2 linked regions of the Rhinolophus ferrumequinum genome follow. The protein of the gene in region 1 interacts with the protein of each later gene in a biochemical or structural test. Links are inferred from orthologs where the notes say so. Each region holds a gene or a part of one and is shown in the gene's direction. Other genes may lie near its edges.

The links. The genes of interacting proteins can lie anywhere in the genome.
Region 2: the proteins of SMARCA5 (region 1) and POLE3 form a complex in vitro, tested with the Homo sapiens proteins (2 studies listed by BioGRID). The link is inferred for Rhinolophus ferrumequinum from reciprocal best matches to the Homo sapiens genes SMARCA5 and POLE3.

Annotation. Positions count from the first base shown.
Region 1 is NC_046301.1:17,881,746-17,888,861, forward strand, and holds the start of SMARCA5 (SWI/SNF-related matrix-associated actin-dependent regulator of chromatin subfamily A member 5), read left to right. Parts: upstream 1-3,940; 5' UTR 3,941-4,347; coding exon 4,348-4,518; intron 4,519-7,116. UniProt on the Homo sapiens protein: ATPase that possesses intrinsic ATP-dependent nucleosome-remodeling activity.
Region 2 is NC_046295.1:65,274,867-65,282,012, reverse strand, and holds the start of POLE3 (DNA polymerase epsilon subunit 3), read left to right. Parts: upstream 1-4,071; 5' UTR 4,072-4,509; coding exon 4,510-4,575; intron 4,576-4,676; coding exon 4,677-4,762; intron 4,763-5,128; coding exon 5,129-5,247; intron 5,248-5,524; coding exon 5,525-5,697; 3' UTR 5,698-5,702; exon of another isoform or gene 5,703-7,069; intron 7,070-7,096; 3' UTR 7,097-7,146. UniProt on the Homo sapiens protein: Accessory component of the DNA polymerase epsilon complex. Participates in DNA repair and in chromosomal DNA replication.

The DNA of each region.
Region 1 (7,116 bases):
ATACTTATAGCACTAATTCCTTCTAGTGTTTTCTTGACACTATTCCCCTTACCCTTCTCCTTATTAAAAAACCACTAGGTTCCCTTTCCTCCAACTAGACTCTGACTTTTACTTAGGCTTATGATTTTTCAGGATAAGAATATCTAACACTTGAACCAAGAGCTCAGTCTATGTCAGGCACCGTATTAAACACCCTACGTGCACAATCTCATGTAATTCTTATGACATCATTGTAAGAATATTATATAAAGTTGGGATAATATACAGGTATACCTTGTTTTATTGCAATTCACTTTATCACACTTTACAGATACTGCATTTTTTACAAATTGAGTGTCAAGCAAGCCTATTGGTGCCATTTTCCCAACAGCATTTACTTACATCATGCCTGTGTGTCACATTTTGGTAATTCTCACAATATCTCAAACTTTTTCATTGTTATATTTGTGATGGTGAATATTACATACACTTAGTTGACAAAGCAGCAGCAGGATTTTAGAGGATTGACTCCAATTATGAGAGAAGTTCAAAATTGGGTAAAATGCTATCAGACAGCATCACATACTACAGAGAAATTGTTCATGAAAGGAAGAGTCAATTGATAAGGCAAACTTCATTGTTCTTTTATTTTGAGAAATTGCCAGAACCACACAAACCTTCAGCAACCACCACTCTCTGATCAGTCAGCAGCCATCAACATTGAGGTAAAGACCTTCCACCAGCAAAAATTTCTGACTTGCTAAAGGCTCAGATGATGGTTAGCATTTTTTAGCAATAAAAAAATTTAAGTTCTGTACATTATTTTTTTAGACATAAAAAAGTGTGCTACTTATTGCACACTTAATAGACTACAGTATAGTGTAAAAAAACTTAACTTTTACAGGCACTGGGAAACCAATCTGACTCACTTGATTGTGGTATTTGCTTTATTGTGGTCATCTGGAACTGAACCCACAGCATCTCCAAGGTATGCCTGTAATAACAAAAAGATGAGATGATTTCAAATCAGTTATATAACTTACCTGACTTCATACAGCTACTAAATTCTGGAGCCTGCACTGGAACGTAGGCTCGCCCAACTCCCCAGCCTACTCTCTTACCACATTAATCCTATATTATGCTATCAATTCCAGAACTACCTGTTAGTTTTAGCCTATTAGTCGTTGAAGAAAAATAGGCCGTTGTGATTTGACCACCCTGTAAGTACTACATCTGCCTAACTCAGCTAATGTCCCTGTAGCTCAGTTTCCAGGTGTCTGGTCTTTTCTGTAGCTCTTCTTTCCACTTCCTGCTTCTAGATCATCCTCAAAATTTATTTCTCTGTTCTTGATGTTAGTTAGATTAGTGGATTCCAACATACTGTCTCCGCTTCCTCCTTTGTTCTAAGTATGTCTCCTGTATAATTTTCCCCATTAAGATTCCTATACAGCTTTCATATGAGAAACCTATGGTGTAAATACACACGTTAAAAGACAATTGCCATTTTGGAGACAATTTTATTTATTGCTTTTCTTGCTATTTATTGCTTTCCTTAAATACCTGTCATATTTAAGAAACTTCCATTTATATACTTCAGTATAATTTTAGGGATTCTAAACCAGCACCTACCACTATAAAGAGTGAAGAAACATTCTGAATATCAAATAAGTGTTATAGTCTTTCTACTTAACAATGTGAATATTAAATATTTATTCAACAACTATTTATTGAATGTCTATACATCAGATACCACCCTAGACACTACCTTTTTACCCTTCCACCCTTTCCACACCATCTTTTTTTGGTGAAAGTACATTTTTTAATATTAAAAATAAATTTTCTCAACATGATACACAAATTTATCTTAGAAAAAAATATATAAACAAGCAAAAATCACACATCAGTAACAATCACTTTCAATACTTTTTATGAATATCCTCCCAAATTTTCATCTATATTTTTGAACTATTAAACTTCTTTCAGTAAACATTATATAATGAACATTCTTCTACATTAATAATTGTTCATTTTGTGGGTGTACAATAGTTTTGGGGGTATTTTAATTATTTTTATTGGGGAATATTGAGGAACAGTGTGTTTTTTCAGGGCCCATCAGCTCCAAGTCAAGTCATTGTCCTTCAGTATAGTTGAGGAGGGTGCAGCTCAGTTCCAAGTCCAGTTGCTGTTTTCAGTCTTTAGTTGTAGGGGATGCAGCCCACCATCCCATGCAGGAATTGAACCAGCAACCTTATTGTTGAGAGCTCACACTCTAACCAACTGAAACATCTGGCCACTCCGGTGTGCAATAGTTTTAAAATCATATTTTCAATGTTGGATTCAGACTGTTATTAGATTTTTGCAATTACAATGTGAAAACTATTATGAACGTGATTGCAGGTACAGTAGTTCCTCGGTTTTTGAACGTCTCCGTGGACGAACATTTCGGTTTACGAACGCCGTCAACCCGGAAGAAAATGCTTTGAATTACCACCATGCCTCGGAAGTTGAACATGTCATGCAGCTTCCATTGAGTGCAAGATCCTGAGGCCTACCTGTCAGCTGATTCCCAACATTTCAGAACTCAAACGGTCTTCTGGAATGGATTACGTTAAAAAACTGAGATACCACTGTATTTATCTTTTCATATTCCTTATAATCTCAGAAATAGCATTTCTAGTGGGCTGGAAGACATTTATCCACACCTCAATTAAAGAATTATCATTAGATTATTTTAAAAATTTGTAAGCTATATATTCAAAAGGAGATCCCTTCTGTTTGAAATTCTAGTTAAACAACCAGTTAGCTTAAACCTTAAGTCTCAAAAATGTGTCCCATTTTTTAATAAACACTGATAAAATACTGGACAAGGGGATACAAAGATGAATAAATACCTGTGTAGGGCAGATGATTTACTGTAATATGCACATCTGTAATCAAATTGCATACAATGGACTTAAATTCTATAGCAGTTGGATACAGAAAGCTGGGTTTCAGAGAGCCTCAGACTGTGCAAATAATTAGTACTGATTATCTCTTCACACTTAAGGAGACTGCACTTTTTTTTTTCTTTTTTCTTGGGGAATATTGGGGAACGGTGTGTTTTTCCAGGACCCATCAGCTCCAAGTTAAGCCTTCGTTTTCCATCTCATTGTGGAGTCATTGGTTTCATCTAGTTGTGGAAGGCGCAGCTCAGTGGCCCATGTGGGTATCCAACCCGCAACCTGGGTGTTATGAGCACTGTACTCTAACCAACTGAGCCAACCAGCTGCCTGGAGAATGTACATTTTCATTTACTGCTTGGTGGTTAAGGAAAAGACACAACCCAGGGCCTCGCTTCCTTATTTATTGATTACTCATGTTTCTCACTTTACATGGTAGAATACACACAATTTGTTTACTTTCAGCATATAAATTCAGAGGAAATATCTTCTTTGTATCGAAGTAGAAGGTATTGAGAAATTGTTATGGCTAAAATGTGAAAATTAAGAGGAAAATAAATCAAACTAATGGGCATTCCTCCTTAGACAAAAAACTGAGACATCACTTGGGATAACGATAACGTCACCAACGCTGTGGCGTCACGCCTGTAATAAAGCATGGTACTAGAAGTGTTAAAGCCAGCACAGTCCTCCAAGTTTCAGTAGGTGATGCAAAACCTGGGCAAGTTTTCAGCGAGCGACACCAACCCAGGCCACGCCAAGAAGACACCGCGGCCGCAGACACTGAGCCGTTATAGAAGCGCGTTAAGAGTGCGCTCGCGTCAAGCCACTGAGCCGAGGCACAAACCTGTCTCAGAGCTCTCGGTCGAGGCCCCGCCCACTCTCGTACAGGCCTCGAGAGGGGCCGAAGGGGGCGTGGCAAGGGGAAGGAGAAGAGGATGCGCATGCGCATTCGCAACCCAGTCTATTAGCCAACTATCAATCTCGCGAGGGTTGAAAGTCGGTGGCGTAGGCAGTTGTCCTGGATGCTGGAGAGGTAGATGATATTGACCGGAGGAAGACGGGACCGCGAAGCTATTTCTTCGCCTCGGTCTTTTCTTCGCTTCCTTTTCCCCTTCCCGCAACCCTCCGCCCTCCTGTTAATCAGCCCGCCTTTCCTGACCTCAGTGACCCGGGTGGCTCCGCCCACTCTCGTCAACGTGATTCCCGCCGTGAGGTAAGCGCCGGTCGAACCCGATCCCCGCGGAAGAGGACGACGACGAGACGAGGAGGTTGCTGGTCCCGGTTCAGGCTCGACCCGGAGCCGCTGCGCAGAAGGCATTGGTTCGTTCCTCCATCAGTTCATTGAGACGTAGCCACCCCGGCCTAGGCCTCCTGATCCCTGCCGCGCCCGGCCTCCGGCAGCAGCGGGTGACGCAGACGGAACATCATGTCCGCGGCCGAACCTCCGCCACCCCCGCCTCCCGAGAGCGCGCCTTCCAAGCCCGCAGTCTCGGCCGCCAGCAGTGGAAGCAGCAACAACAAAGGCGGCCCCGAGGGCATCGCGGCCCAGGCAGCTCCCTCAAAGGTCGGCGCTGGTCCCGCTGACTCGGAGATGGAGGTAAGGGTGGCTTTGGGCACAGGGAGAGGGTGCAGTGGGGAGAAGGAGCTAGTTCACTTGTCTGCATTTTAGTGATCAGACGCAGGGCCGTACTTCGTACTTTGGGGTCCTCTCTACCCCAGATCCGCCTCAGGCCCTTTGGACCTGCAATGATGCTCCTCCCTTGCGTCCGGTGCTTAACCTGCCCAAACTGACTATGGGTTTCTGGCACTTAACATTTTTAGCGAATCTTGCCAAATCTTCGAATGCTCTTATTAAACAGATGTTCTTGATTACTGAGGCCGAGAACGACCTACCCGTTGTTTTTTTCCCTCCTAGACTCCCATAATTCCCTCTTCCATCTCTGAAGCAAGGTTTTAGTTTCTAGTAAACTTCGGGGACGGGCGAGGGAGCTGCCCCTGAGGAGTGAGGGATAGACGGGCGGGGTGGGAAAGGGATTTAAAATCAGCGCATCCTAGGACTTGGGCCTCCTTTTCCTCATCCTGGTCCTTGCGGGGGCGGTGTCTGTTCTTGGCAGAAAACAATGGCGAGAGCTGGATGGCCGAGTGCGCAGTGGGGATAAGCTGGGCGCAGCTGCTCCAGTGAAGGGAATGGAGGCCCCTCCCAGGCACTGTTCCGTTGGGAGGGAGGCGACCAAGGCTGCAGCAGCTGTCTTGGACCCCCATCTGATTTTGAGGGAGGGGGATGGATGAATGGGTGAATGAATTAGTAAGTCAGGGACAGTTGGTTGGTTGGCATTCAGTCCAACGCAGTTCCTCTTTGGGGGCCTTGGACTTTCTTTGAAAATCGGTACTGCTCGCCGCCCAGCCTGCCTTCTGGACGGGTTGACCAGAGGATGGTGACAGTACTGGGGAGGTGGAAAGATTGGGGAGCTGTCAGGTGGGTCTCTTGGGTGTGTTCCAAGGTTTTGTGATGTCTGAATAAAGTGATTGCTTGCTTCTTCCAAATTTTATTCTTGGCCTTCGATCTGTTTTGAGATATTTTATAGTCGCAGCCCAAAGATTTCTGGGATTTTTCCATCCTTGGATAGACAGAATGAAGGTAATACTGCTTTGAAAATGAGCCTTGATGCAGAATTAACCCAATAAGGAATTGTTAGTGCAGTTTACCATTGAAGTATTTGGCGCAATAGTTTTGTTTGGTCACCGAAGGTCTAATTGAGGGTGAAGTAACATGTTGTAATATTTTTGAAAGAACTTTTAGTGGTGAGGTAGGTTTTAGTGGACTAGGACATGTGATATTCTGTAGTTTTCAGTGGTTTGAGATTTGTTTAATATTCCTATCTACCGTTGCCTATTTTTTTCCTCTAAGGCTCTATATGGTTCTTTTAGATTACCAGGGAGGTTTAACTTGGATTCCTGCTCTATGCATGGCTTAAGGGGATTTGAAAACCTGTGACACTGAAATTGTGTCTAAATGCACACAATTCTTTGCAAAATGATGTTCATTCATAGTTTTCACTGGCTTTTCAAAAGGGTCTGCCATTAAAATTTTGGAATAACCAATGTCTCCCTAGAGATCTTATTTAAATATCAAAAGCAGAGTAATTTAAAACCTAAATATTTTGCTATTTTTAAATTAAAGTTGAATTAAAGTTTAAGTATGAATATTGACGTGATAAGTACCGTATGAAGTCAGTGGTATGTTTATTTGCTAGATGATGAAATTGAGGCTGCTGCTAAGTAGAACCTGTGGTAGAACCTGTGTCAGGCTCTAAGACTGACTCTTTTCCAACATATTTTGTCCTGTCAGATTCTTAGAAAAAAGGTGGTTAGCAATTTCATTTATTGAAGAATGACTAATAAGTTTTTTTACCTTAATATAGCAATATCAGTAATTTTGTCTTTTATCAATCTCTTCACTAATTTTAGTTTTGATTTTTTTGTGTTTTCTTTTCACATAGTGTGATTGGGGGGGTGATCTTTAAAATAAATGTACCTTCAGTCTGTTATTTTTGTTTGTCTCTTAACTGAATTCAGAAATCATTGAGGTTTACTGGTAAAAACTAGGTTTGCGCATACATGCGTAATACATCTAGCAATCTGTTTCGCAGTTGGAAAAAAAATTTTAATGCCATTTTCTTGTTTGAAAGTAGAATTTAAAGTAGGTTTTTTCCAAAATCAGAAAATAAATGAAATCATGCATTCATGATTTTTTCTGGCAAAGCTGACCTTCCCAGAAATATTAGCTAGCTTTCCTATGTATTCAGTTAATTTTTCCTTTTTGCTTGGTACTGATAGGTCAGCGAGCAATCTTTTTGTTGATTACTATGATCTTTTTGGTAATGTGATGAAGCCTATCTTCCATCATCCTCATCCCTCACTACTGACTAGACTGGTAGAGAAGTATATGCCAATAAACTAGACTGACTATATGCCAATAATTGTATGAGCTCAAGTCCTGGTCCAAATCTTTCTCTTTTTTTATTAACTATGAAAGAAATAATGACTACTTTTGGAAAGCACATTTTGTTTTTTTTAAGATGTACTTGACCTCTCATGGTATTCTACTAACATTTTGTGAAGTAGGCCAGGTAGGTAGCTTTGTCTGTTTTACTTGTGGATACCAGAGATTTGTGATGAGTTTTAAGGTTACACG
Region 2 (7,146 bases), on another chromosome or scaffold:
CATTACAATGAACGATTCTTTACTTCCCCGACTAGGCTGAAAGCCCCTTGAGGGTAAAGGCTGTTATCTTGTTTACCACTGTCTCTCCAGTGGAGAGCAAAGTGGCCCCCACTAGGACATATCTGGTAATTCAATGAGTGACTAAAAAATGATGCCATGGGGCCGGCCTGGTGGCTCAGGCGGTTAGAGCTCCATGCTCCTAACTCCGAAGGCTGCCGGTTCGATTCCCATATGGGCCAGGGGGCTCTCAACCACAAAGTTGCCGGTTCAATTCCTCGAGTCCCGCAAAGGATAGTGGGCTCCGCCCCCTGCAACTAAGATTGAACACAGAACCTTGAGCTGAGCTGCCTCCCGGATGGCTCAGTTGGTTGGAGCGCATCCTCTCAACCACAAGGTGGCTGGTTCGACTCCTGGAAGGGATGGTGGGCTGCGCCCCCTGCAACTAGAAAACGGCAACTGGACCTGGAGCTGAGCTGCACCCTCCACAACTAAGACTGAAAGGACAACAACTTGAAGCTGAACGGCATCCTCCACAACTAAGATTGAAAGGACAACAACTTGACTTGGAAAAAAGGCCTGGAAGTACACACTGTTCCCCAATAAAGTCCTGTTCCCCTTCCCCAATAAAATCTTAAAAAAAAAAAATGATGCCATGGTCTTTACCTTCAGAGACCCTGACTGGGAAAAACCACTACTTTCCCAGGGCTCACCTCAAGTCCTAGAGAAACTGAAAGTAGTCCTACCCTCTCCTATACTCTTTAGCCTAAGAGAAATCATCCAGGGATTCCTTAAATCGAACAGGAAACAAGAAATCTCTACAAGGGCCACCACTAGTGCTTTGATTCCAGACAACAAGGTCTTCATATTTTAAAAGTCTAAGTTTTCCACAGATATCTTAGTTTCATATATCAGAAAACACCAACTGGGTGACTACATTCAAAAGGGAGATTCAAAAGGAAAAGCCATTGCTTCTGACTTCAGGAATTTACAAACAGTTTCATACCTAAAAATAAAAGAAAGACAGCATGCATAGACAGTTTTCTGATGACCTATAGAAGTTGATGAGATAAATATTCCCTGATATGGGCTGAATTGTGTCTGCAAAGTCATTTGCTGATGTCCTAACCCCCTGTACTTCAGATTTTGACTGTATTTGGAGGTAATTAAGGTAAAATGAAGTGCTACAGGTGGGCCTTCATCCAGTATGACTGATGTACATGGAAGAAGAGAAGATTAGGACATGGGCACACACAAAGGGAAGACCATGTTAAGACATAAAGAGAAGATGGCCACCTACAAGCCAAGGAGGGCTCAGACGAAAACAGCTCTGCCAACACCTTAATCTTGGATTTGTAGCCTCCAGAATTTTGACAAAATTAATTTCTGTTGTTTAAGATACCCAGTCTGTGGTACTTTGTTAAGGTAACAAAGCAAACTAATACACCTCCCATTTTAACCAATTCCTAGAACACAAATAAGAATGCTTTCTTTTAGTTTCCAATTGCTTATTTACCACTTCTTTAACTGAATCGATGCTTTATTTTTAATCCAGCTTTCTCAAAGTCTACTACGTGTATAAAGGAAGTCAACCCCAAATTTTGAGATAATAGGCCCTTAAAAGACGATTCCATGATAATTTACCTGCCTTGAAATTTGGAGTCCAGTTTTGACCTCTGAGACAATAAAGAGTGAGGCTTAGTGAAGGTAAATTCTGATAAATGATGATGAGCATGTCTCTTGGCCGGAAAGCAGGAATCTGAGATGTTTACAATGGTGAGCACTGGGAGTTTGTCTGAGAAAGCAGACCAGAAGAAAACATGTAACATGCCAAAAAGGAACCAAATGGAAACAGTTCAAAGATCTTGTAAGGAAAGAGACAAGGGTTGGCTAATTCACCATTAGCATCCAGAGGAGCTCTGCAGGGTGAGCCCAGGATTCGAGGGTGGCCCCTCTCAATTCGGCGGATAGTTGCCCAGCATTGTGGATGCTGACAAACAGCCAAGTTACAGGTGGTTTCATCCCACTGGCTCTCATCTGGCAAGTCCATAGTTATGAATGGTTTAGGACACAAGCCAACCTTGCAGCTTTTTAGCCCTCTGGAGAGACAGTAACCACATAATTAGGGAGTATTATATACTAGCCATGCAGTCCAGATTTTAATTTGGACTCAAAAGTATAAAATATTTCTATTGAGTCCATATAGGCAAATGGTGGTCACAAAATAATTAAGAATAGGGTAACAAGCAAGTATGAAAACATCTCAGCATGAAGTAGAGTGTCAAGAGTTTGGGAGCAGACTGACTTTAGAAGGTCTCCTAATTCACCATTTAAAAGATTCGTTAGTCTGAGCCTCCGTTTCCTCATCTGCAAAATGAGAATAAGCCTATTTCACAGGGTCATTACAAAAAATTAGTTAATGGATATTAAAAGGTCCGGTATACAGTTCAGAATGAATATCAGCATCCTTTCCTTTTCCCCTTCATTAATCACGAAGGAAATGATACCATCTCCAAAAAGCCTTATCAAATCACAACTAATGTAGTCACAGAAGTGCTTTTACATGGCTCAAAACTTTGAAAGCCATAGGCTTCACTTTTCAAATGCTCCAATTTTCATACAGGCAGCTACCCACCGGAAATTAATAGGTTTGCTCAAACAGCAAATCAGTAGACAGACTTGCAGTTGCATCAGAGGCCATTGGCTTTTCATTTACTGTCTGTAGGGTCTTGGACAAGTGACTTAACCTCTTAGCCTGTTTCCTCATATCGAGGACAAGAAATCCCTAAGCAGGATTGTAGAAGGATTAAATGAGATCATGTACTTTTAATGTGTGACAATATAATAGGTGCTCAATAAATACAATCATCTTTCTCTCTCTAAAAATGTTTTAGGCAATCATTACCACCTGGTCCCTAACAACTTTTTAAGGACAGTGTCCATTTGTACTTTCTTTTATCCAAGATGTTTATTATTGACTACCAAATATGTGAGGGAACCTGTATAAGCATGGAAAACAATAAAAACAAAATAAGTCTCTGTTCTAAAGAGCTTATAATTTAGACCAAAGGTAGCAAAATATTGGTCTGGGATTGCACCTGGTCTGTGTCTTGTTTCATTTAGTCTTCACTTTGGGCCATTATTTCCATTTTAAAATGGAAATAATCCATACTGTCCAGATTTCTGGCTCCTTTTAGCAATCAAAATATCTGACAACACAGGGGGGCCCAATTCCAACTAGACAGCAATTGACTGAAGCTGAGCATCTCCTGACAGCTTTAAACCAGGTCTGTCCCATCAAAGTGGAGAGTTTTCCCACCAGACCCTACAGTTTCTAACCGAAGCAGTTTCAGTTGCCATTTATCCTCAAATTCCTGTTGCTTTTCTCATAATAGGGAAATATTTCTCTATACTCATCAAAAGCAGGAAAACGAAAGGGTGACTTGGGATCTCTTTCAAGAAAAAAAAGCATTAGTACTCAGTTAGGAGTGAGGACAATTTCTACATACATAACATGAAAATGATACAACTTAAAAAGCCACTGTAAAGCTGTGGTAATGTTTTTGACTGGGAAAGATGTTTTATGAACAATTTAATCAACTAAAAAACCACAATTTTAACAGGGTTTGTTTTTGAATAGGAATGTGATGTTGCCGGCTGCTTATCGACCTTTCCTTACCTGACCAGCCCGAATTGGCAATGCCCCAAGGTCTGGTCATGCCCACCTTTATGTTGCCAGCATTGCCTCTGCGCTGGCTAAATAGATTGCCTTCAAAAATTCTAGGTAGCAGTTATCCTTAATACTATTACCACCAAGTTGGGAGGGGTGTAATGATTAAGGATGGACATCAGCTCCGCTAAGAGTTGAAAAAGAGACTCCCCGCTTCGTTCCGGAAAAAGGGAGGGGAGAATTCGGCCTCGGAGGGTCGCGGTTCCGCGGAGTCAAAGCAGATGCCACACCGCTGGGAGGCCGAAGCCCACTGGGAAAACCTTGCTCCTCGCGGGGCCGGGATGAGGTCTGTGAGCCCCGCCCACCAGGCCCCGCCTCCCGCCCCAAGGGGCCCCGCTCCGCCCGCACCGTCCTCGCCTCCGTCTCCCGAGCTAGCCGGCAGGCTGCGCTGTCGCTAGGCAGCGGCGCACGGTACCCTGCGGAAGGGACGGAAGCCCCAGTGAGCCCGACTTAATTTGGTGAAAAAGCTCCACACGTGGTGGTGGGTGAAGCGGACAAACGAGCTTGGGAAGGGACGCCGAGTGTCAGTGGGGCCAGACGGAAGCCCCGGCGGACCGAAACCATCGGGGCGTGGAACGTTCGGCCGCGCCAGCGACTTGAGGCGGAAGCGCGGCTGCTGGAGGAGGGAGGCTATCGCGCGCGGGGCCGTATGGGACACGATGTGGGCAACGTGGGGCGGGACGGAAGCCTCGTTGGGTCAGACCGTGGCGACGCGGGAAGTCTGGACGCCGTAGCTGCCTAAAGAGGAGGCCTGAGAAGGAGGGCCGGTCCCAGTGGCGGCAATGGCGGAAAGGCCCGAGGACCTCAACCTGCCCAATGCCGTCATCACCAGGATCATCAAGGAGGCGGTGAGCAGCTGGACTGACGGTTGGGCCAGGGGCGGACGGACGGGCAATGGGGGAGACAGGTCCTGGGCCCGTAGCTTTGCTCACCCCCGCTCTTCTCGCAGCTCCCGGATGGTGTCAACATCTCCAAGGAGGCCCGGAGCGCCATCTCCCGCGCCGCCAGCGTCTTCGTGCTCTACGCCACATCCTGGTGAGGCGGGCAGAGCTAGCCAGACCTTAGCTGTGACATAAGGGACTGTGACATAAGGGAAGCGCAAAGAGACTCCCTGCGCCCGAGTTTGTGGCTTTTAGCCCACAAACCCCAATTACTATCCTACCTCAGTGGAGGGAGGTTCACAGCCTTCATCCACTTTTTGCAGGATCTGAAGCAAATAAAACAAAAAATAACTTCGCTTTAACTTTCTTGTACAGGGAAAAGGGAGTTACCATGTCACAAAAATCCGTGCATCTAAGACATGGGCTTTCCCATTCCACCCCTGGGTGCTCCTTTTTCTATCTGATCCATAAGTGGCAAGGGCGAGTCTGGTGACCCTTAATATTTCTCTTCTTGTTTCAGTGCCAACAACTTCGCCATGAAAGGGAAACGCAAGACACTGAATGCCAGTGATGTGCTCTCAGCCATGGAAGAGATGGAGTTCCAGCGGTTCATTACCCCGTTAAAAGAAGCTCTGGAAGGTAATGACCATTTTATTTTCTCAGTCAAATAGATAGATGTTCATTCCGTGTGACCTTCTCACCTGGTCCTAAGTCTTTCTGGCTTGGATCCCTTGAGTCCAGTAAGCAAGTATTGGGTGTGACTCAGAACCATTTCAGTTGGACCATCTCAGGTCTTATCATTCTAGCAGGTAATTTTTCCGTCTGGGCCTCAGCTTTTCCAGTTATACACAGGCGTTAACTGCTGCCATCTGTGTGGTTCAGCCTTGCCTCCTAACTCCCTCCTTCCTCCTTACAGCATATAGGAGGGAGCAGAAAGGCAAGAAGGAAGCTTCGGAGCAAAAGAAGAAGGACAAAGACAAAAAAACAGATTCAGAAGAACCAGACAAGAGTAGGGATGAGGATAATGACGAAGATGAGGAAAGACTGGAAGAAGAAGAACAGAATGAAGAGGAGGAAGTGGACAACTGACCAGGGTGAGGAGACTGTGGCACCTTGGAAGGTACCACTCAGGAATGTGCTGTATGTTTATATGAAGCTTTTTCCTACTGGGCAGAGCACTCTTAGGCAGCAGAGCCTGAGACCATCGAAATGAAAACTGGCTCGAATTACCAAACCGGCACTTCCCAGACTCAGAACATCTGAGTAGCAGAATCCTGTTTTGCTTAATTGGCCTGAAGGTTATGACTTTTTGGCAAGAGGGATCCTGAACGGATAATTTCATCAATCAATTTGATCTCTCTTGTTTATTTTTATATGTGATTAGGCAGGTTTTGATTCTCAGTTCCTTCCATGCTTACCCCACCAAAAATAACAACTTCCATGCCATGTGCTGTGTTCCAAATCACAGAGGCAGCCAAAGGCTCAGGAAAAATTGAGGCTTAGATCATGGTCAGCCTGCTTGTACAGTATCTGACAACACTAGCTATTACAAGTGGTCAGAAAGGCTTAGCTTTGGGAAACTGCTGAAAGGCTATGGGAGAACAATGGAATCTGTGATCTTTACTTGACTGTCAACATTCATTGGATTTTGGTTTTTACAGACCCACTTGGCTTGGGGCCCTTCTGTATTGCCTGCAAACATTTGACCTGTTGGTGTGCTGCACTCTGGGAAAATATGCTTTTAAATCAGCATTGTAGAGTGGAATTAGTCAAGCAAGTGTGCCAATGTCTAACTCTTAAAAAAACAAATGGTTGGTCTTAGATGCACCTCACTGCCTTCCACTGTACAATGTTAGGATTTATTGTGACCCAGAAGGTAAAAATCCCAGGTTTTTCTCTTACAGGCCATCTCCCAGACTTAGGACTATGGCTTTTCATTCTTCCAGTTCGTGACAAGTTCCAAGCTTTATTTCTTCTAGGCACAGCTTTCTCCTGTGCTTCTCACTTCCTGTCTCTCTCCTTCCTTTCCTTTGCTCCCCATTCCCGTTATCTCCCTTCTTTTCTCACTTCTGTCAGTCCAGAAACTTGAGTAATCTGCTTTATATCCCAAAGTACAGGTTCCTCTGATTTCTTAGGTCCAATTTCATGTCTTTTAAAAATGATTTTGTAAACCTCCTGAATCTTCAGGGAAATCCGATGGTGCTCGAGAATCTAACCCCCCACCCCCATTGCCAAACCATCCCCTTTAACTATTTGTAAAATATCTCTATTGACCTTTCTTCATTTTTTTTTCTCTTTCCATTTAGTGCTTCAAGCACTTTTTTGTCTCTAAGAAGGTTGACAGGTGTAGTTTGACACTTAATTTGTGAAATGAATACAGTGAAAAGTTGATAAATGAGTGAAGAATGTTGAGAAAATTGCAGTGCTTTGTACAAATAAAAAACATTCTTGTTAAAAGTGATGACTACTCTTTCATGCTTCTTCGTAGTATGCTTTGGGGGAAGACCCACTGATCACGCCCTGTACAGTTTTTGGACT